Saccharomyces cerevisiae S288C: one gene and its partners. The gene in region 3 interacts genetically with the main gene of each other region. Each region holds a gene or a part of one and is shown on either strand. Other genes may lie near its edges.

What was found.
Region 1: of YKU70 (region 3) and MEC1, a mutation in one rescues a mutant of the other (synthetic rescue), as found in Saccharomyces cerevisiae (3 studies listed by BioGRID).
Region 2: of YKU70 (region 3) and CHK1, a mutation in one rescues a mutant of the other (synthetic rescue), as found in Saccharomyces cerevisiae (5 studies listed by BioGRID).
Region 4: of YKU70 (region 3) and DNA2, a mutation in one rescues a mutant of the other (synthetic rescue), as found in Saccharomyces cerevisiae (4 studies listed by BioGRID, with this or other methods).

Annotation. Positions count from the first base shown.
Region 1 is NC_001134.8:503,858-511,700, reverse strand, and holds the start of MEC1 (protein kinase MEC1), read right to left. Parts: upstream 6,034-7,843; coding exon 1-6,033. Other genes in the region: cyclin-dependent protein kinase regulatory subunit CKS1, read right to left, coding at 6,395-6,847; HSL7 (protein arginine N-methyltransferase), read left to right, coding at 7,414-7,843. UniProt on the Saccharomyces cerevisiae protein: Serine/threonine protein kinase which activates checkpoint signaling upon genotoxic stresses such as ionizing radiation (IR), ultraviolet light (UV), or DNA replication stalling, thereby acting as a DNA damage sensor.
Region 2 is NC_001134.8:747,596-751,709, forward strand, and holds CHK1 (serine/threonine protein kinase CHK1), read left to right. Parts: upstream 1-1,998; coding exon 1,999-3,582; downstream 3,583-4,114. Other genes in the region: HSM3 (Hsm3p), read right to left, coding at 1-208; UBX7 (Ubx7p), read right to left, coding at 466-1,776; DNA-binding protein RIF1, read right to left, coding at 3,761-4,114. UniProt on the Saccharomyces cerevisiae protein: Serine/threonine-protein kinase which is required for checkpoint-mediated cell cycle arrest and activation of DNA repair in response to the presence of DNA damage or unreplicated DNA.
Region 3 is NC_001145.3:836,650-840,509, reverse strand, and holds YKU70 (ATP-dependent DNA helicase YKU70), read right to left. Parts: upstream 2,324-3,860; coding exon 515-2,323; downstream 1-514. Other genes in the region: NGL2 (RNA exonuclease), read left to right, coding at 1-366; RIT1 (tRNA A64-2'-O-ribosylphosphate transferase), read left to right, coding at 3,643-3,860. UniProt on the Saccharomyces cerevisiae protein: Single-stranded DNA-dependent ATP-dependent helicase. Involved in non-homologous end joining (NHEJ) DNA double strand break repair. DNA-binding is sequence-independent but has a high affinity to nicks in double-stranded DNA and to the ends of duplex DNA.
Region 4 is NC_001140.6:424,065-430,923, forward strand, and holds DNA2 (bifunctional ATP-dependent DNA helicase/ssDNA endodeoxyribonuclease DNA2), read right to left. Parts: upstream 5,115-6,859; coding exon 546-5,114; downstream 1-545. Other genes in the region: 6-phosphogluconolactonase SOL3, read left to right, coding at 1-409; U4/U6-U5 snRNP complex subunit PRP8, read right to left, coding at 5,643-6,859. UniProt on the Saccharomyces cerevisiae protein: Key enzyme involved in DNA replication and DNA repair.

The DNA of each region.
Region 1 (7,843 bases), on a different chromosome or scaffold from region 3:
GGCCACGTTCATGTCAAATTTGAAGTCTTTTTCTAAAGATTTGCCTGATCTACTTGTAATGCTTTTGACATCTTGCAAACAGACACGAGTTAATGCTTTCGTTAAATCCAATGCACTAGAAACTAGATCATGAGGATTTTGCGAATGTTGTCTATACTTTTCTAAAATATGCTTACCACGAAGAACTCTTTTTGAAGAATTGGAATTTACAAGGGCTGTGATATACCATAAAATATGAGAGGGGTATTCAACAGCCAAACTTAGCAGTATGTGCATTATTATCTGGGCCGATGATTGATGAGAATGTAATAACCTAGATAACAACTGAGTCAAAACAAAGTACCAAATATAAGTGGGACAATGCTGCAGCGCTTCTTCAACATGACTACATATATCTTCCGTAGCCTTACTCAGCATTTCCTTTCTGTTTCCAGGAGCTTCAGAAATTGATGCGGCCGCAATATCTAGCCAAAACGTGATAACTTTGGGCAAATTTTCTCTTACTTTAGCAGTGTTCTTTTCAAATGCCAATAAAAAGTAAGATATTGCCCTGTACTCAAAACGACCATTAGTAATATAACCCTCTGCTTTTTTGCGCTCAAGTAGTCTACTATAGTATAAGCCAATAGAGTAATATGGTTTATCCCATTTAGAATCAATCTGAAAAATATCCTGATATTGTTTAATAATTTGTTCGGACGCTGAATTGTTCGAAAGGTCTAACCATTCAGTAAACTTTAATAGCACGGCGGCACGATCGCGAGCATTAACCGAGGAATTTTCTTGATACTTTTCATGTATTTCTTGCACTATCTTTAAGGCTCTATCATTCTCACCTTGCTTCCATAGTATTTCAGCAAACTCCAACTCTGCCTGAGGCAACCGCCTTTCCAAACAATGCATTAATGATTCGGAGGCTATATCTAGCCTAGCGTTGTTTCTCGCCAATTGGGCTAAAGTGAAGAATGTTTTTCCTAAGTCAGCGTCTGCTTGTTCATTCATTTTCAATTGGTCAAATGACTTTCTCATTGACAATATGTAATGATTTGGCACGAAGTCAGCCCCAATACGTTCCATTCGATAATCGAGTATGGTAGTGTTACTTTTGTATTCAAACTTATCTTTCGCAGAAGATAAAAAACTGAGGTCATATAAACTGTGTAATTTCATCAATAAATTCTGTTTCTTTAGCAGCGTCGTCTCTTTAGATGACGTTATAAAATTTGTTCCGATAAGCCTAAAGGAATTGTGGATGTATTTTTGAGTCCTTAATGGATCCTCGTTTGAGATGGCAATTAAAGCTTTCGCAATATTGTACTGCAAAAGTACTTCTCTATCGTCAATATTTCTTAAACTCTCTATTTGTTCTACCCAATTTTTCAAAGTTTGAACATTGCCTTCTAGATTTGCAGCTTCAAGACCTATGCTGTACCATTCCTTCACATCTGGAGACAAAGAAATTTTTCCGTCTGAAGAATGGAACGAAGAGTTCGATATTATTTGAGAATACAATTGGTGGTCATACATAGACTTTAGCATCCTGGTTGTAGTTTTGGGGTCATCTGAAAATTTGCCGAGGACATTAAAGCAGTCTTGTGCGAGTTTCCAGTTTTCAGAATATTGCAATTCTTCAATTTTAGAAACCAAGTTTCCTGTAGCAAAGGTTCTCAGTACACCATCGAGTGAGTCAATGTCTCCTATTTCTTCGTATGTGATTTGTAAATTTTTCAGTAGTTGTCCATTTTGGTTCTTATCGTGAGGATTCTGTCGATAGCACTGTTCAAGGTATAGAGCAGACCTTTCAAAAGAATCCGTCTCTAAGGAGCGTTGAGCTAGCAAATCTGAAGGGGTTGTTCGCAAAAACTCATCTATTCTCAAAAGCATGTTAGTTGTTTTCGTATCTTTAATGATAAAAGTGCCGTGTAGTTTACTGTAATTTTGTTTAAACTCAGTTGCCCATTTTTTGCAATATTCGAAAACTCTGAAGATGGATTCATAGCACATTCTTAACGAATCCACTTGCAAGTTATTCATTCCTTCCAGATTGCACGTGAAAATGCTGTCAAATTCAATAATAATCCCGTTTAAAATATCAGCGTATGGAGTTCCTTTTTCTGCCTTGATAATAATGTCCAGAGAAATATAAGGTAGCAAAAAATTTGATAGTGAGCCATCATCTTCCCTAATCAAAGAGGAAAACACGTGTAATGGATGATTTTCTGTTGTACCTGTTTTCAATAAATCCAATGTAAACCTTTTCACCCAAATTTTGTATCCTTCCTTGAAGTTATTAGAAGGATATTTTAGCGGGACATATTCTTTCCATGATTGCGCAAGATACAAGGAAGATAAAAGCGGATAGATGGTTGTCTTGGAGACAGAGTTAAACTTTTCCCATAGTTTGGCTTCATTTGGATATAATTCTTTATGGTTCATATCCCATGACTCTGAACTTAGCCCGCAATATTTTAATGATTCCTGTATGACAAGGGCAACAAACAATTGCTTGCTGGGATTCTCACTTTGCCAAAACGCAGGAACGAGGATATCATTTATGACCCATATCAAGAACTTAATAGTTTGAACACTATCATTCAAATCATAAACTTCGTTTTCTGAATATGTTGTTCTTTTAAACTCATGCTTTGTAACGTCTAAAACACCAATCATACTGATACATTTGGCGCACTTCTCGCATAGGTCCTTGTCTAAATTTCTAAACTTATGAGAAGTGTCTAATAAAGCACCCAAAACTAATGTTATATCAGAAGTTTGCCCAACCTTCTTTGGTGTAAAATCAATCGATCTTTCTGTCTGCTTTCTCCGAAGATATACCTCTATATCGTCTAAATTTTGGTTTATGACATACTTGTTACTACTTTTCAAGTTATTAGCAAATATGGGTATAAGGTCCGTGGTACTTCTTATTTTATTCACCATTCTTGCAAATTGGCCATCACGAGCTAAAATACCTAATTCAGGCTTGCCTACTAAAGCCAAAGTAGTGTAAGGTTTTAATTTCAAAATCAGGTCCGATTTCTCTTTGATTAAGGTATCCAGTATACTGTACACTATATTTCGAAGTTTTCCGTTGAACTCAGACCACTTTTGAAGTATGAATGCAATTAAGCTATCTATAACAGTAGAGAGTTCTTCATCATTTAGATGGCGAACTAACAGATGCCAACATCTAAAGGCCTCGTATCGAACTTCCTTAAGCCCAAGTCCTGTTTGCAAACAAATACTAATCTGGGCTAATGCGGAAATTATTGATTTTTTGGGGGCATATATGATAAGAAAAGAAATGCCATTGATAACCCTTAACTTTTCGTAGTAAGTGGTGCGGCCTTCAACATCATGTATGTCACTCGAAAAAACTTGGAAAATACCTAAGATATTATCCTGTAGTTTCTTTTGGAACGCTTGTTCCTGATCATCCGTCCAGTTATTGATATTTTTGTACTTCGAACCATGCCTTTTGTCTTTTTCAAAATTGGTGATTAAAAATCGCAAAGAGCATAAAATCATATTAGCATTCTCGCTGTCACTTGCATCTTTAGTAACGCTGTTTTTGTAGAGCTTCGTTATTTCAGCTAAAGTTTTATAATCGGGAAGGTATGCAGTTATATATCCTTTGTCAAAAGTTGGAGCCCTATTTAAAAAAAGGGTTTCCAAGATATCCAAAGAAAATAATCCGTGTTTTACCAAAGCTACGGCAAATATTTGCCTACTGTTTTTTTTCAGTAAATTAACCTTCATTTGGTTAATTAAACTTGTATCGCCATCACACATAATCTTAGCAATTTCACTTAGCACATCGCTCTTATATTGAATAATTGCATAAGGGATGATATATCTCTGGAAAATATCGAGAATTGTTTTTGAAGAATATCCCAATAATTCTATTAAATTTTGAAAGCCAACTTTTCTTTCCACGAGGTTTTTTCCCAACTGTCTTAGTAATACAGGTAAAATAGGCGATAGTAATTGATATGGTGTTTTCTTTAAAATTTTGGCCATATTTTTAATTTGCAAAGTCATCATTATTCGTAAACTATAATCATCAGAATTGAAAATATCAATCAGTTTCAAAAGTAGTGTATCAAATACATCATTAGAAGTCGTCAATGTTAATTGTGTCCAAGCAATGACTAAATTTTCTTTCACCACTGGCAATTTTTGAGATTGTAGAAACTTTATCAGCGTGGCAGTGTGTTCATCTTCGGAATTATGAGAGTCTGATATATTGAATAAAGGTATAATTCTAGTACTTAATAAACGTAGGTATCTGTTAGAATTCATAAAGCACTTTTGTACCAGTTTAAAGCTCTTATTGATTTGACCGTTTCCATCTGTAAGTTTTGGAGGTTGAAAGTGTGAAAATATCCTATGTAGAGAAAATAAGATGCCACTTAACAAAGATTCGCTAAATTCATCTATATTTGGGTGAGATAGAAAGTTTGAATGAAGTATCCTGAAGATTTCTGATTTACCCGCAGCCTCTGGTCTATTTGGATTTATTCGCACGAAAGGGTTGCCAGTTTTCTCAATATCGCATAAATGACAAACATACCAATTATCCATATCCTTTGTGGAATTTGGCAGAGTGCCGGAAAACTTCTCTGATTCTAGACAGGCTAGACGTCCGAGAATTACAGTCCATGATGTTAGCCTTGTTATATTGTTTGTCTTGAAACAAGTTTGAATGGATACAGATGCTTCATTTAAAATTAGCTTGAAATCGTTTCCAGCTCTTTGAAAAAATCCAGGACTTAGCTGGTTCACGCGGTATTTGAGCAAAGTTCCTCTTTCTGTCTTGTTAAACTTCTTTAGTACTAGCAACCTTAGCTTTTCCAGCTGCTTATATCGATCATCAAAGGGAGAAGTGACATTTTTCAAGCTCGAGTCCGGCTCCGATTGGTATACCCAGATGTTGAACTTATTATCGTACTTTAAAGCTTCAACAGGTAGGGACCTTCTTTTCAAATCAAAATATACAATCGAGAGAGCTTTATTAGTCAACTGCGTGAACGGAAAATGTTCACTTTGTGAAAAATCTGCCCACTGGTCAATTGGGAAGTGGTCTACAAAGCATTTTGAGAAATCGTTAGAAATGCAAAGAGAATATAGTCGAAGAATTCCTTTGGCCATAGTGGGGTCATTATCCAAGAGCCCATACTTGTTATCCAAAAAATGATGCATAGTAGTCAATACAAACTTTAATTGTTCACAACAAACTAACGCTGGGGCATCCAGGGCTGTGGAAATTGTTCTATTGCAAACATAGTCCACAACTAGAGAAATATATTTGAGTTGGATTTCGGCATATTCTAGTGCTGCTAGTTCGCAGGAATCAAAGACGTAAAGAACAATCCTGATTAATCGTTGGAAGTTAAAGTCAAATTTCGTGAACCCCAAAGAAGAATCTAAGAATGCTATAGAGTTCCCAAAAGTACTATACTCCGAAGTGAACCAGTATAAAAGAATGTATAGACCCTTCAAGGTGTCATAAAATTTGAGAAGCTCAGTCTTGCCCAACAAGACTTCAGTCAAGGCCTGTTCGTAAAGATTCATGGTGTTCTCAAAATGTGCAGTAAGCTGAAACTTAGCAGGTTTTCCGTAAAATTCGACACATGCTTTGCACCAGCTGCCTAATTTTCGCCTCATAAACCATATTCTGTGGTAATTATCATAGTTCAGAACGGATATGTTGAGGAAATCATCTATCAGCCTTTGTATCTCAAAGTTCCCGTTGGAATCCTTCATAACAAGCAAGAAGGGGTTGTACTCCAACAATAAGGCAAGGGCGGAAACTGTTTTCGAAAATATAGTATCATTTTTCATGATATTGTTCCTTCTTTGATCTTTTAGGTTTCTTATGAGGGTGTTCAGGATCTTTAAACTCTTGGCGTACTCCTGAGAAGAAGATGGATCCGTGGGCACTTTTTTAATCTGCACCTTTGAATCCACCCCCGAGTTCAGGTCTTTTATTGCCAATATCAATTCGTCAAGATATTTGACGTGTGATTCCATGCAGTCTTGTGGGCCTTTACGCGGTGTATGTCGTTCTTGTTGTCCAGCCTCACTTTGTCTTCATTAATCATCTCTCTTCAAAATTGTCCGTCGGCGGGTATTTTTTTCTAGTTGACTAGTTTTGGAGCGTGCGTTCCATCTATTTGATTTATAAGGGAAAGAAGAAATTTATTTGAAGGATATTCACTATATAAATTTTATTTGTATTCTAATGCTTGTTGGTGAAAACTATGATCCATAGTTTTTTTTTTTTTTGTTTGCTTGTTTGTTTATTCTTTATTATGATAAGTACATAGTATGCTCCATATAGTTATGGAGCCTTGAAAAGGAATTCAATTTCAGTAATTAGAGTATATCAAAGCTAGGAGATTTGGGGTGGAACTTGCATATCGTTCGAAATCGATTGTGTTTGATGTTGCTGTTGTTGTTGTTGCTGCTGTTGCTGCTGTTGCTGTTGCTGTTGAGCAGCAGCGGTCGCTGCCCTCAGCTCGGCCTCGTAGTTCAGCGGCCTTTTGAATAGCAAAATGTGTGGTTCTGGCGCATGGCATTCATAATGTTCCCACCCCAAAGACTGTGTGATGCCGAGGCCTCTCCATTCGTCTTCTGTTAATATACGCAGGGTCCCCACTTCCGAATTGAAGTAATCAGATGGGATAACTTTTAGCATGGCCTTAGGTAACATCACATGCCTGTACTCATAGTTATCGTCTGAGTACCGCGGAGAATAGTGAATGGAATCTTGAAACTCCAACACGCGTGCTCTTTCTTGGTCAGTAAGCTTTCTGCCTTGGAAGGCGTGATAGTGATGGTACATAGTACTGTAAGACGAGAGTAAGTGCGTGTCAATCTAGTTGTATCCAACGCGGCCAGCAGTTCCAAGAACTTACGACAGAGTTGTAATGAATGCTACTGATGTCTGCTCTACTGCCATCCGCTGTCCTTTCATGCATAAAAGCTCCATTCTTTATTTATCTCATACCACGAGAAAAAAAAATCACCTGACATATTTTTATAACCCGCCTTTTAGACCCTAAAACAGATCTCAGGGCTCGAGTACTGTTTTATCTGAAAATTCTTCGAGCCCTCGTTTTGCACTGAGCTAAACCAAAAGAAAAATAAACAATCACAAATGGAACCCGAAACAGCACGCTGCGCAGTGTTTTTATATTTTTTTGAAACAAATGGCTTTATACAATGTGTATGTGTGATAGAAAAAATGGTATATTTCGAGTGACTTGTGATCCTATTCCCAAGCCCTATAGGAGCTATTTCAAATTGCGTGTGTGAAAGCGTGTGTGTGTGTGTGTGTGTGGAATTGTGCGGACGTTCCTCTTCTTTTATACATATAATTTTTATATATACAAAGGGTTCAGTTTGCATATGCATAGCAACGTATTTGTTGGTGTCAAACCAGGCTTTAATCATAAACAGCACAGCAAAAAGTCACGTTTCCTAGAAAATGTCTCTAGTCATTCACCAGAACTGCCTAGTAACTATGATTACGTTTTGCTTCCTATAACAACGCCAAGATATAAGGAAATAGTTGGGCAAGTTTTCAAAGATTTCCAAAGACAATCCATACAGAACTGGAAACCGCTTCAAATTCCTGAACCGCAGTTGCAGGATATCTGTATACCCCCGTTCAACGTCAAGAAGCTAGACAATGACGATACGCCGTCTTACATAGGGCTGTTATCCTCTTGGCTGGAGCTGGAGAGTCGCGATCCAAATGTAAGAGATCTTGGCTTAAAGGTCCTTCTAAACGAATGTAAGTACGCGAGGTTTGTTGGAATCAATAAGCTAATATTGG
Region 2 (4,114 bases), on a different chromosome or scaffold from region 3:
AATCATAGGATACGTTAGACGTCAGAAAACGCTTGATCGTAGCCAGTAGTGGTTTAACATCCATATCTGGAAGGGAGACAACAGTCACAAGATTCAAAGAACATTTCCTTAATAGTGTGTTGATATCTTCAGGCAAGTTATCTTCATTAAGTTCATTTTCTAATTGCGTAAGGAGATTTTCCACGTAATTTGTTTCTTTCTCACTCATTGCTCCTGTTTCGCTGAGTTCTTTTGCGGTGATTATAGTTGTAAACTTGTTTTATTTTTAATCCCGTAATTAAGGTGTTTATATAAACTTACTCTTCAATTTTTCTATATGCATTTGAAACAGAAAAAAAGATATAAAAATACCAGCTATAACAAAAATCCATGTAAATAAAATTACTGTATATTTTTTTATGTAATCTAATCAAAAAAAATTCACGTCTAATACTAGTCATAAATGGAGTTGAAGCCATTAACTACTTATTTTTTATCTTCGTCCTTTTTCTTTTCTAAATGGACATTATTACCATTAAAGGTTGTTGGGTCTTCAGGATCTTCTTGATGATCGTTGTTAACAAATTGGAAAACATTTGGCGAGACAGAACGTGACGTAGTAAGGTTGGTTTCCGATGGGTACCTGGTTCCGCTAGGTGTCAGCATTGGTGATGCATGAGCAGATGATTGAACTGGTTCCCGAACATTGTTGTATTGGAAACAGCTTGACGAAGCAGCTCCAGATAAAGGTGTTGAAGACCTCACTTCGTGACGATTCGGCTTCGATGTTTCCTCACGTTGTGATGTTACTTCAGGATCTTTATCGTTGTGCCACCACGTAGAGAATCCCTTATAAAGACGGCCCAAAAGGCTTGGTCCCTCCATCCCAGTCACAGATAGCCCCGAGTTTTGAGTTTCTAGTGGTTTAAGTAATAATGCAGACCTTGGAGTTAGTTCTAGTGTCTCTAGCGTCTTCAATTCATCAGAATCCTTAAATGTCACTCTGGGAATGCCCCTGTGGAATGAGTACGGGCAGTCTCCATCTGTCCTGTTGACGTCCACCCATTTTCTAACGTCATTTAATGTTTCAGACGAGTTGAACTCATGTTTTAGAGTCTTGCCATCAGTCATCCTGATTTGCAAGACGCATTTGCTGCTGTGCAGTTTTTGTGCGTCTTTTATGTAATCATGAACATCCAATGGCTTATCATCATCAAGGGTTCTGTGATGAGTTTCATCAAGAGCTTTTCTTTCTGCACGGTCTGCCCTAACAAGTCTTATAATTCTTTCTCTTTCCTCCTCAGCCAGCTTTCTTTGTTTCAGTTGTTCACGACGTTGGATCTCTAAGGTAGTCTCAGCAATCCGTTCTCTTGCATTTTTCCTATGGACGTCTCTGGATGACTTTTCTTCTCTAGCCAAACCTGGATTGGTTTCCCTGGACGAACTCTCACCAGCCTTTTTGTCTTTGATGCCTATGCACGCCAGCAACTTCTCCCAATGTCGGTCATCCTCGCCTTGAATAATCAATTCTATCTTTCCAGCACGTATCAAGTATATACTGGGTACAACTACATTAGGAAATACTTGCTCAAATAACTGGAACTGCTCAGTGTCTTTGACCAACCTCAACCAAATACTATGTTCCGCTAAAGTATCTAATGAGACATCATCTCCTTTAAACCAACTTTTCAGCCACTGGTCATCCCGTGCAGTGTTGTAAACGGCCAGCACAACGCCTTCCTTGATGGAATCGTTTATTGCTTCTTCCACAGAATCTCTAAACAGTGCTTCTAACATTTGGTTACGGCTGTTTGGTTTAGCTATCCTTGCTTCTTTGTAAGTGCTTTCAACCTCAACCCAGCTCCCTTTTAAATTTTCAACATTACTACGAGGCCTGCCGAAGTTAATAAAGAGCGGCTTTAAATGTCATTTTAATAATTGAATGGCAAATAAAAACAACTACAGCTTCAAACATAAGAGTATATCATAAGTTGCTGTATATGGGCAGCACGTATTACTATGAGTCTCTCGCAGGTGTCACCTTTACCCCATATCAAGGATGTTGTTTTAGGAGATACAGTAGGCCAAGGCGCATTCGCCTGCGTTAAAAATGCTCATCTTCAAATGGATCCCTCCATTATTCTAGCTGTTAAATTCATTCATGTTCCCACTTGCAAAAAAATGGGACTCAGTGACAAGGATATCACAAAAGAGGTTGTTTTGCAATCGAAGTGTTCTAAGCATCCTAATGTTTTGAGACTTATCGATTGTAATGTCTCTAAAGAATATATGTGGATAATTCTGGAGATGGCAGATGGTGGTGATCTATTTGATAAGATTGAGCCTGACGTTGGAGTTGATTCCGACGTGGCCCAATTTTACTTTCAACAGCTCGTTAGTGCTATTAATTATCTGCATGTAGAATGTGGAGTTGCTCACAGAGACATCAAGCCTGAAAACATCTTACTCGATAAGAACGGAAATCTGAAGCTAGCTGATTTTGGGCTCGCCTCTCAATTTAGGAGGAAAGATGGTACATTACGTGTATCCATGGATCAAAGGGGTTCTCCACCCTACATGGCTCCTGAAGTATTATATTCTGAAGAGGGTTATTACGCAGATCGAACAGATATATGGTCTATTGGCATCCTCTTGTTCGTATTGTTGACTGGTCAAACGCCTTGGGAATTACCTTCATTAGAGAACGAAGATTTCGTCTTTTTTATTGAAAATGATGGAAATTTAAACTGGGGACCCTGGTCAAAGATAGAATTTACTCACTTGAACCTACTCCGAAAAATTTTACAACCTGACCCAAATAAGAGGGTGACATTGAAGGCTTTAAAGTTACATCCTTGGGTATTACGTCGAGCTTCATTTTCTGGGGATGATGGTCTCTGTAATGACCCTGAACTCTTGGCTAAGAAACTGTTTTCTCACTTAAAAGTCTCACTGAGTAACGAAAATTATTTGAAATTCACTCAAGATACAAACTCTAATAATAGGTACATTTCTACTCAGCCAATTGGTAACGAATTGGCTGAGCTTGAACACGACTCAATGCATTTCCAGACAGTTTCGAATACACAACGTGCATTTACCTCGTATGATTCAAATACGAACTATAATAGCGGAACAGGTATGACACAAGAGGCTAAGTGGACGCAATTCATAAGCTATGATATCGCTGCCTTACAGTTTCATTCTGATGAAAATGATTGTAATGAATTAGTAAAACGACATTTACAATTTAATCCGAATAAACTTACCAAGTTCTACACGTTGCAACCTATGGATGTTTTGTTACCGATTTTGGAGAAAGCCTTGAATTTATCACAAATTAGAGTAAAACCCGACCTTTTTGCGAATTTTGAAAGATTGTGCGAATTATTGGGTTATGATAACGTTTTCCCACTTATTATAAATATTAAAACCAAAAGTAATGGGGGTTATCAATTATGCGGTAGCATTTCCATCATAAAGATTGAAGAAGAGTTGAAAAGTGTCGGATTTGAAAGAAAAACTGGTGATCCTTTAGAATGGAGAAGATTGTTCAAGAAAATTTCAACTATCTGTAGGGATATTATCCTAATTCCCAACTGAAAAAAATGGAGACAAAAGAAGGGTTAAGATGCACTGATCAAAAAAAAAAAAAAATTCTTTCTACTTATTATATATCTCTCTCGATTTCTAGTGTGTCATCGTAACTATATATTGTTTCGAGAGATTTTATTATTGTAATTAATTTATTGCCATTTTGATCTATTCTACATACTAACAATCAATTCATATCATTATCCCTGTTTGAGTAATATTCGAGCCTCATCATAAAATCTAATAATTCAATTCTCAAGTTTCTTCTTTCTTCCACAGATATTCCGTTCAAGTCGCCCGGTGTGAACCCTCTCAATCTGGCCACTAACCTTCTCGACTTTTTTGAAAAAAAGTGCACTTTTAATGAAGGTGTGGCTTCCCTAGATGTAGCATCTTCGTTACCATCTCCCCCCAACAAAGGTTCGCCATCTGCTTCTGTGTGGGCTTGGCCTAATTGAATTTCATGGTGTTTTTCTTTTCCACCAATTGTTTTTGGTACGGTGTCTAAGCCATTCTGCGCGTTGATATTTGTATTTTCTGT
Region 3 (3,860 bases):
AAAATGGCACAACTCCATAACTCATTGGATATGAGGGCTATTTCACTATACTCTGTTGGGTATAAGAATGTTCATCCAGAAAATGCAGGTCTTGATAATGATAGAGGTGAGCCTGAAATTTCAAATTGGGCAAACACTTGGCGTGGTTTATTAGACTATCTATTTTATGTAAAGAAATGGGACCCACAAAGTAATTGTCAGGAAGTGGAAACCCTTGGCGATTTTGAAAAAGAAAATAAAGTTAAATGCAGAGGTTTTTTGAGAATGCCGCCCGGTAATGAAATGACAAAGCATGGACAACCACATGTTGGAGAATATGCAAGTGATCATTTGTCTATGGTGTGTGATTTAGAGTTACAACTATAGATTACTGTCGTGCATAAATATCTTGCTAATAGTTGTACAGTACAACGTTTAGCACGACAAAAGTTCTTAATAATAAATATTACATCAAATACCCTACCCTACCAAATATTGTATGTAACGTTATAGATATGAAGGATTTCAATCGTCTTTATATATTGAATTTCGGCTTTTTATCAAAGGGCTTCTTTTCTTCTTTTATCGAAATGTTATCATCGTTAAATTTTTTGTAGAACATATTCCAGATTTTAACATATTTATTTAGCCTTTGGATGATTGGATCTTCTGACTTCTCAGATTCTAAAATTTTATTTCGTATATAATATAGTTTCCTTAAAGAATCGTCCTCACGCATCATTCTGTCTTTTTTAGTATTAGGTGTCTCATTTTCGTCAAAAGTGGTTTCAATTTGCAACAGGTAATCATGTAAAACTTTGTAATGTTTTTGTAATAGTGGGTTTTTGAAATCGGATGGGTTATATCCATCCCTCAAGTTAAAGTATCCCATTATACTTTGAGTTACTTTTTTCATGTTATCATAATCTAGTTTATGTTCAGAGCCATCATCATAGGATAGTAAACTAGGAAATTTTCGAATTTCGTCTAGGAATGGAACCCTGTAGAGATAAAATCCTTCGTTGTAGTCCTTCACGCTTGAGGGTGATAACGTATATAGTGAAGGATGTGAATTTGATTTAAGCTTCCCCCATAATATTGCAATTTTATCTTTTTTTCTCAAAATTTTTAATAAAGAAGCCAAGGTTCTTATCGAACCTTCATATTTTGCTTCATCTGGTACGATAAACGAACTTTTGTCTATGTTATTGAAATAGTGTATCGATTTGCTCGATGAACGGAACCCAATAATCTTCAAAAACGCATCTTTTTGAGTATAAGCCTCCATTACTATCTGATCTTGACTATCTGATAGATTGATATCGAGGTCACCATAAGGATAAACCTTGACAGTTTTACCAGTAACGTCTTCTCCTGTTATAGGATTTAAAAATTTTCTTTTTGAATATGCTTCTTGTCTGATATCTTCATGCTCATAAACAAGTTTATACCTGACTCCAGCTTTTTCATGGGTATACATAGTGTAACCCTTGACTCCGACTATAAAATTTGTTTTCTCATCCAAGATTAATGGACATTGAAACATTATCCTCTTTACCTCCTTTTTCCTTAGGATTCTGGACTTGATGTATTTAGCATCTATAGGCTTTGTACTTGGACCATCAAATTCAGAATCCAAACCAGTATTCTCATTTGTATGTGAACCCAACTGCAGTATGTCCGAATAAAACTCGTTGTCAAATGGTTTATCGGCATAGCCAATAAAAAAAGTTGCAAAATTCACTTTGTTATCAAATAAATCAATTGTAAGCCTTCTCAATCTTGCCCGTTCATCGATATCTTGCGCCTCTTGTGGTTTATCAATGTCAGTGAATAAGAACACTCTCTTGTTGCTTAATTGCTTTTGACCCGGAATCTCTTCCAAAAAAGTGTCAAGCATGAATGTGAATAATACAGATAAGCGCACTTGCTTTTCACTCCCAGTTTGTTGAAACATAAAATAGTCGTATAGGCTTATTCTCCCCGATGATAAATCTTCTAAAAGATCGTTCAATTTCTTCATAAATGTAGCATTTATATCCCTTAATGGAAAAAGTTCATAGATACCTTCCTTGGCATCCTCTCTGTTACAGTAATAAAAATAGCAACCAATAGCTGTCCCAGGTCTTGTTATGACCAATTGTGACATTAGCTCATCTAGTGATTCCAGAATTTCCAACAATGGTGATTTATACTCTAGATCAGAGGACTCTTTAAACATTGTCTCTGATAGTTCAATGCAAAACAAAATTCCTTCATGGATATCAAACTTCCTATAACCTGTTTCATCCACTTGATCGTTAAGTTCTCCACTATTGCCAAATGCATTAGTGACTGAGCGCATAATATTCCCGTTTTAAAATCAGGCTTAGAGTCACTTAACAAATCATAGCTTTACTGTTGAAAACTAGAACAGTAATACAGAGAATGTCATTTGGTAGCTACCTTAAAGCAATCCCTAATACATGAAATTGAGAATCTTCAAAAATTAAGGTAATCAAAAGTAAAAAAATATCTCCCGGGGGCGAGTCGAACGCCCGATCTCAAGATTTCGTAGTGGTAAATTACAGTCTTGCGCCTTAAACCAACTTGGCTACCGAGAGTCAATTAACTGATAACCATTCAATTATGAGTCCGTCTAATATCATGCTTATTCACAATTTTAATATAAGCAACCTTGCAGAAGTGACCTGTTGTCAAAACGGAATATCAACTTGATTGAGGGGATGATAATTATCCTATATATTCTATAAATATGGATTATACTGAATATTGGGTGAATAATTTGATAATTGTTGGGATTGCATTGTTGATCAAGGCTATATAATATTATGTACACAGAATATATTAGAAGTTCTCCTCGAGGATAGAAATCTCAAAATGGAATCTATATTTCTACATAATAAAATTACGATTATTCCTCATTCCGTTTATATGTTTCATTATCCTATTACATTATCAATCCTTGCACTTCAGCTTCCATTATACTTGATAACTATTTCTCAATCCTTATTTTATGTTTTTCCACCGCATATTATAATATGCCAGTAATATTTATTCTTATTAATGGTCGTTAATTTCACACCAGGCGTGTTTATAACTGAGTAATCACTTTAAATTTGAGCATCCGGTTTTGCACCGTTAATAGTATCATTGTTAATTAGTAGGCAGGTTGTAGTATATTCTAAGAATAAAACAGGTGCCCTTAATCTGTACAAGAGAAGAGTATGAAATATGAATTACATTGGGCATATCGACTATACGCAATATATCAGTAGCTTCGACGATTTAGGTAGGTATAAGGGTTTCCTATACCTGTATACACAAATTTCAAACTTATGGCCGAGCCAGATAGTCCTTTAGCTATGCCTTCCATTACTTCTTGGAAAGCTTGTTGCATTTCCCGTCATATTATGTACGGTTACAACTTTTTTGTTGATTTCCATGCCCGAAGGGAGCTTAGCATAGCCGCTATTACATAATCTTATCATCTTCATCAAAAATGAACTTCTAAAATCATCCCACCACTCTATTGCTCTTCATATATGCGTTGTATGTTTATGTGCTTTGTTCTTATTACTGCTTAACTGTGACTGGGCCCATTATTCATTGTTCATATGCAGGAAAAAAAAAGCATGCTTGAAAATTTTGATCTCTTGATGGATGGTATCGAGGCTATCAAAGAGATATAGATCCAGAGTACAGTTTAGTATATCCGTGATGGATGAAAATATTTATCTTTCGCTATCTCAGATAAATAAAGACATCAGAAAGGAAAACAAGTCCGTAAGGAATCGACTTCAGAGTATTCTTTTAGACAATAAATTTTTGCAAGATCGAGTTATCCCTATATTTCCCCATTATCCACTGATACCCAATGA
Region 4 (6,859 bases), on a different chromosome or scaffold from region 3:
CAGCGATGCTGAATCTAACAACAAAATTGCTGCAGAGTACGAGCGTATCGTACCTCAAGTGCTTGATTTGGTACTGTTGGGCTGTGGTCCTGATGGACACACTTGTTCCTTATTCCCTGGAGAAACACATAGGTACTTGCTGAACGAAACAACCAAAAGAGTTGCTTGGTGCCACGATTCTCCCAAGCCTCCAAGTGACAGAATCACCTTCACTCTGCCTGTGTTGAAAGACGCCAAAGCCCTGTGTTTTGTGGCTGAGGGCAGTTCCAAACAAAATATAATGCATGAGATCTTTGACTTGAAAAACGATCAATTGCCAACCGCATTGGTTAACAAATTATTTGGTGAAAAAACATCCTGGTTCGTTAATGAGGAAGCTTTTGGAAAAGTTCAAACGAAAACTTTTTAGAAAAGACACACATGCGAGCTTTCGAACCTCAGATGCTAATATTACGTGTTATATATACCAAACTTTATAAAATGACATAGATATTTTATGCTGTGATAGCTTTCCTGTTATGGAGAAGCTCTTCTTATTCCCCCTGTCAACTTTCATACTCTTGTAGAATTTCCTTTATGATAGGTTTATCGCTTACGAATTTAGACTTTGATGTGATGGGTTTGGCACCTGTTCTTTTTCCACAACCTTTGCGTGCCTCATCAATAGCGTTTGATCTGTCGGGAAATTTGTATTTGTAGAGTGCATCCTTGCACATTGTATAGACCCAATTACGCTCTTCTAACAGGTTCACGAACGATTTTATTTCAGGAACAGAGCCGATTGTACTTTTTGAACCTATAATGATCAGCTTGGATTTGGCCCTTGTCATGGCAACATTGACTCTTCTTAGCTCTTTCAGCAGCGCTCCTCCATTTAATTGAGAATTTCTTCTAACCATGGAAATAATAATGCACTTTTTGTCACGACCTTGAAACTGATCAGCAGTCAAGATCTCTAGCCCGTCATACACATTTTTGTTGAATATCTTCTTCAGTAATCTTAACTGTGCTCTGTATAACGTCATTACACCAATATCTTCGCATGGTACGCCGCTCAATAACATTCCTTCCACACATTGTAGAGTCAATTCTGCCTCCCCGTGATTCGTAATGTTATCCTTTTCGCTTTGTTCGATAATATCCGGGCAGTTATCGTAATTTAAAAATACCACTTTTCTTGTAGGCTCTAGTATATCCTCAAGCCACTGCTTAGAGTTAGCCGATTCATTCCTATAGCGCGACAAGGCCTCAGGCATTGGTAACTCTAAAGATTGAGCAAAAACTTCGTTATTCCCGCATTTTAATTTATTATCATAAATTAGGAAATTAGACAAAGTTACAATATCGCCGCACATACGGTACTGTAAAGTCAGTTCTGCAACGCTTTCCGGATGCTTTTCACAGAAAGTCTTGAACAGTGACTCTTCTAACCCACCTAATCGAGCTGCGTCATTTTTAACTAATGGCGGTAGCTGGTAATGATCTCCTACCATAATAAACCTATTTCCATACCGCAGAGGTCCCAAAGCGACAGGCATTGAAATTTGACTTGCCTCGTCCAAAATCACATAATCAAAATCCTTTTCATTTAGTGTAAATAGTATATCGTTAATTCCTAAGCAGGTGGTAGCAACAACAGAGGTGCTGTTAATTTTGGACAAATAATCGTTATAACTTTTCACTGACGCGTAATTCGGGACATATTTTTGCGTGTCAGGATGGACCTTATGTTTCATTCCCAATCTCATTATGCTAATGTTGGTGTTCCTCAATTTTATTAAAATATTATCCACTGCTGAATGTGTGTATGATGTCAAAAGCACGCGTTTCCCCTCGGAAACGAGAATTTTAATAATTTCTGCGATAACAGTAGTCTTACCAGTCCCTGGCATTCCCAATATCAATGCATAATCTTCGGCCCTCATTACTTTGTCTATTGCTTCTTTTTGATTCAAGTTCAATGTTGTATCCTTTGAAAGCTTATACGGAATGACGGGATCATCATTTGCATCTCTAAACTTAGGTGCTCTATTATCAACTAAAAGTGATCGCAGTATTTCATTACCTCCATCAGATCTCTTTGTCTTCCGACATAATTTACTCCTTTCGTCAACAATATCCACGCCAGGTGAAACAGCTGGTAAAAACAAGCTTAAAAGATTAAATCGCGCTAAAGACAAACTCTGTTGGATATCATTTTTGTCGATTCTATATGTGACCAAATTTTGGGTAGCTATGAGACTGGATTGTTCTAGCTCTGATTCGACCACACTTTGGATGGTAGTGACTCCTTTTTCCTTATCTAGAAGCCTATTGTTTAATAACTTTCGTTTTACGGAGATACCAATTTTAGCGGGATTTATAAATTGTACACGACCTTGGCACAAGCAAAAATGACCCTCCTCATCACTAATAATAACAAAGTCATTAGCAGCAATTTGAGATGATAACATCGACTGCGAGTTATTATCATTTCTACGTCTTGAGAAGCAATATATATACGCTCCCTCTGTTTTTTCATGTTCAACCACCTCTGACACAACCAAGCCAGAAAGGCACCTTCCACTTCTGGATTCTCTTGTGGAACCATCCAATAAGAAAAGTTCTTTATTTACACATGTTATACTTGACTCCTCCTTAGTTATTAGATCATTATATTTTGTAAAAAACTCTTTGTAGTTGGCGAGATTTTGCGACAAATGGTTTGTCAAAATTTCAAACTCACCTTCTACCAGGCCACTTTCTTCTGGTGTCCCGTCCTCTAGTAGCTTATTCAACACCATGCATGATTCTTTGATGAAACATGAATCACAAGATGAATCGCGCAGTAAGGGTGGTAATTCAAACCTTGATTGAGCCTGTCCGAAAACCTCTTGGAGTTGATGCTTAAAATTCATACTCATTCTATTTCGGGACATGAGAATATGTTTAATGGAGTGCAGAACAGAAGGGAACTTTGTCATATTTTTATCCCTCGTAAAATAAAGAAGAAAAAACTCTATCGGTATCTCATAGCGATCATTTAACAGAAGTGTATAAATAAGGCCTTGAACCTCGTATGAAACGCTTCTGGATTTTCCAGTTTTCACTTCTAAAGGAACGATGTGTTTTTTATTGTTTTCAACATTAGCTTCAACAGTTGCATCTAGGAACCCTTTAAGACCATATATTGGAGACCAAATGTTTTCTTCAATATCAATCACATTGGATATAGAAATTGGCTGTGTTCTTCTTGTTCCGGAAATTGATGTGTAGCAACCATAGTTACTTTTCGAAACAAATTTATTGACGAAGTACAAAATGTTTTCAGCATGTTCTTTCATAACTAATTCTTTAACGTACTGGATTTCTTCATTACAAATGATAATTGAAAAAGAATAAGTTTCTAACAAAGAATCCAGCTTTTGTATTATGATTTCCATAGAAATTTTATTATGCGAGAGCTTGTATTTGATTGAGTCTTGCAATAACTCGTGTACGATATTGCCTAAAGTCATGACAAGGCTTGGTTCTCCGCGGGGATCTTGAAATTGCATTTGCAGAATTGAACGTCTTAAACAACCTACTGAACTTCCGACTGATGTTGCCGAAAATAATACATCAGGGTTTAGCACCAACAGGTTGTCGTTAGCCAGTTGAGTTTTAGGGTTTTTGTCGTCAGAAAGAAGCCGTTTGTTTTCAATATTTTTCCCTTCTATAATATGTATTACATCCCCAACCTCAAATTCCAAATATACCCAAGGATGTCGAACGACAACAGAACTTTGTTCGCCTTTGCCGTCTATACACTCTAGTATTTTTTGCGTTCCAATTTTTGGCAATTCAACACTACGTAAGCTTACTATTACTAATCGTACTACGCCGTCTCTTGGAGCACCAGACTTAGCTCTGAGAGCATATGCGGATAAAGTGGAATCAGTAGCAATTCTCAAATCGTCAGAGACCATTTTCTCCACTTTGTCTAAATCTTGTTCAATAGTGTTAGGTTCCACTTGTGTTTGAGTTTCGTTCAATAGTTCAATTAGTGAATCGTCTGAAAATTCGTCTGAAGAATTGTATTCTATTTTTTCATTTTTTTTAATTCTTTGGCAATTACTGTCTTCTTCATTCTCATAAAATGCATTGCCTGTTTTGGCTTGATTGTCTACATTTTCATGATCTTCAATTTCTCCTCTCGATTTTGTGTTATCATTCTTCCCACAACTTTCCTGGGCTCCACTTTTTTGATTGGTGTTGCCTTGAATTGTTATCTGACTCTCACTCTTGCGTTTCTCAACATACTTTTGAGTTAAAATATCTATCAAAGAGTCATCGCCATCGTTGCTATCTCCTGTTGAATCCATTTTATCTACTTCTTCTGCATTCACCTCTGCTTTTTTTTCAACGTTGGGTGCCTTGATGGGTGAAGATGGCAAATCGCTGAATTTCGTTATCGTCGGTTTTATAGTTAAATCGCCCTCTATATCATCGAGAATATCATCTATATTACGGAGAGACTCCCTGGTAGATATTTCTGCTGGTTTAGGACGCACTTGCTCATTTCCATTTTCTTGAATGAGTTGATTTACGTCAGCGTTGGGTACTTGGATATTTGTGAAACTAAGAACAGTTTTCAGTCGATTAGGGACTATAGGTGTAGAAGAGGGATTTTGGACATCTTCGTAGTCATCAGAGTATTCGGCAGCGCTTGTTGTTTTGTCGGACATATCTCGTTGTAAAGGTGAATATTTCCATATTACTTCTTCCATGGGGCCGTCCTCGTCTTGAGTGAAATCGTGATGCCTACTCAAATTAGACATTTCCCGTTTCGGTTTAACTTGTGAATTTGGTAATTGCTTTACGCTCTTGCTAACTGCTTTGTTTATATCTTTTGTTCTTGATGTATTTCGTACTTGTGAAACGGCTATTGACTTTAGGACACTTGCATTGGATACCTTGGTGTTCTTCCCATTTAAGTTATTTATAGGAGCAAAAGCATACTTTTTTTTCCTCTTAGTTTGCTTAGATAATATCGCCTTTGAATCATTTTGTATTATTTCTTTTTCCTCTGTCTTCTTCGCAGGTGAAACAGATATACTCGCAGACCTCTTGTTCTTCTGTGGCGTTCCGGGCATCCTGACGATCTCTTCAATTGTCAGTGTTTGCTTGCACAAAATGAGTACTCACTTGAGTATGTTTTCTCCCAATTTTGTTTTGAGGCTGCCGTAATGATTGTAACTTTATCTTCAAAAATGTAACACAAGTTTTGCCATAAATAGCGTAAGATCAGTTAAATATATATAAGTTCTTTCTGCCGCACGGAATTGCTTTATTGCGCGAAATGAAAACAAGAATATCCAATTTCTATATGAAGGACATAATGGAATGGGAGTGACAACGGACCATTTTCTGTCCGAACGATGTCTATCTCCTTTGGTTACTTTTTGAAATAGAATCACAGTCAATGACCAATTTTCACATACTTATAGCTTTTCATAGTGCGGAAAGCGTAGCTTTGAAGTAGTTCCGAAATTATAATACATCATCGTGTGGTAGGTAGCAACTACGACGGGCATAAAAAATGCGTTGAATATTATACATACAAACTTATACTTACATATATATCTATGAAATAACAGATTCCAGTTTATTGGGGAATATATTCAGCTAAATACATCGATTTGTTCGGCCTCTAACTCTTCGTCCCCCGCCAATTCGCTAAACTGTAAAAAGTGTACTGGACGATGCATCTCATTATAGAATTCCAAAGGAATGCCGTATTTAAAATTGTAGTCACCTTCTTGGTTAAATGCTGTTCCCATAAATGTGTAGTTCCAAACGTTTCCAGATGGAATTATAAAATTACCTGTGATACGGTCAGAGAGAAGTAATTGGGCATGCGTGCTGAAAGTAGGCTCAAACCCTTCCGATAGCACGTTCATTATATCCTTATTTTCTTCACCCCATTGGTAACCTTCGTCGGTCAGGTTATAAGCGCTTAATGATACTGATCCCGGGGTGGAAAAAATTGAAATATCAATGCAGTCTCTTTTCTTATCCGCAAAAAGTTTAGAATGAGTTGCTACTTCAGACGCAGCCATGAATTTAAGTTCTTCTGTCTGGGTATGGATCCAACCGAGTAGTTCAAGGCCTTCAGTATCCGGAAGGTCTCCGATGTCAGGGATGTTGCTTATCTGAACGGATCCTACGTGGCCTAATTGAGGTACCAGCACAACAGTCTTGATTTCTTTCACCTTCGGATGATCTTTTGCTGACATACCATAAATAAAGGCCGCCACCTGGATTTTCACATCGGATATCTCAATAAACTTCTTTAATAAATTTTTTGGAAGGACGTAAACATTCTGTTCCTCCACGAAATCATCAGCCGAAACATAAATGTTTTTTAACCTCAAATATAATAGTGTATTAGCAATTGCAGATTTTCTCCATTCATTCTTTGAACTAAACGTTTGACTTTCGTAATCAGCGGAAGCTACTACAACTATCTCCTCACCTTGCGCATTGATAGTTTTAGTTTTCATAACAGTTGATGCACCTGCAGCTTCTTCGTCGTTCTGCTTTTCTGACCTGGCAGCTTCTAATTCAGCCATTTTTTGTCTCTTCACAGATGGTGCCTTGATATTTTGACCCAATATAATATCTTTAATTTCCGTTTGAGTTAAGGCAGATATATTGACATTGTATTTTCTGCCGTACTCAGTCAAAATCAAATCTCTCATTTGAGATTCGATAGTGATCCATTGTTCATCAGTGAATGAAGGCCATAAATGGTACGATTTGATAGTGATCGTGGGGTCACTGAGTAGAATCATTTTGGCACTTTCCTCGTTCGTCTTTAAAGCTCTTAAAAGTAGTG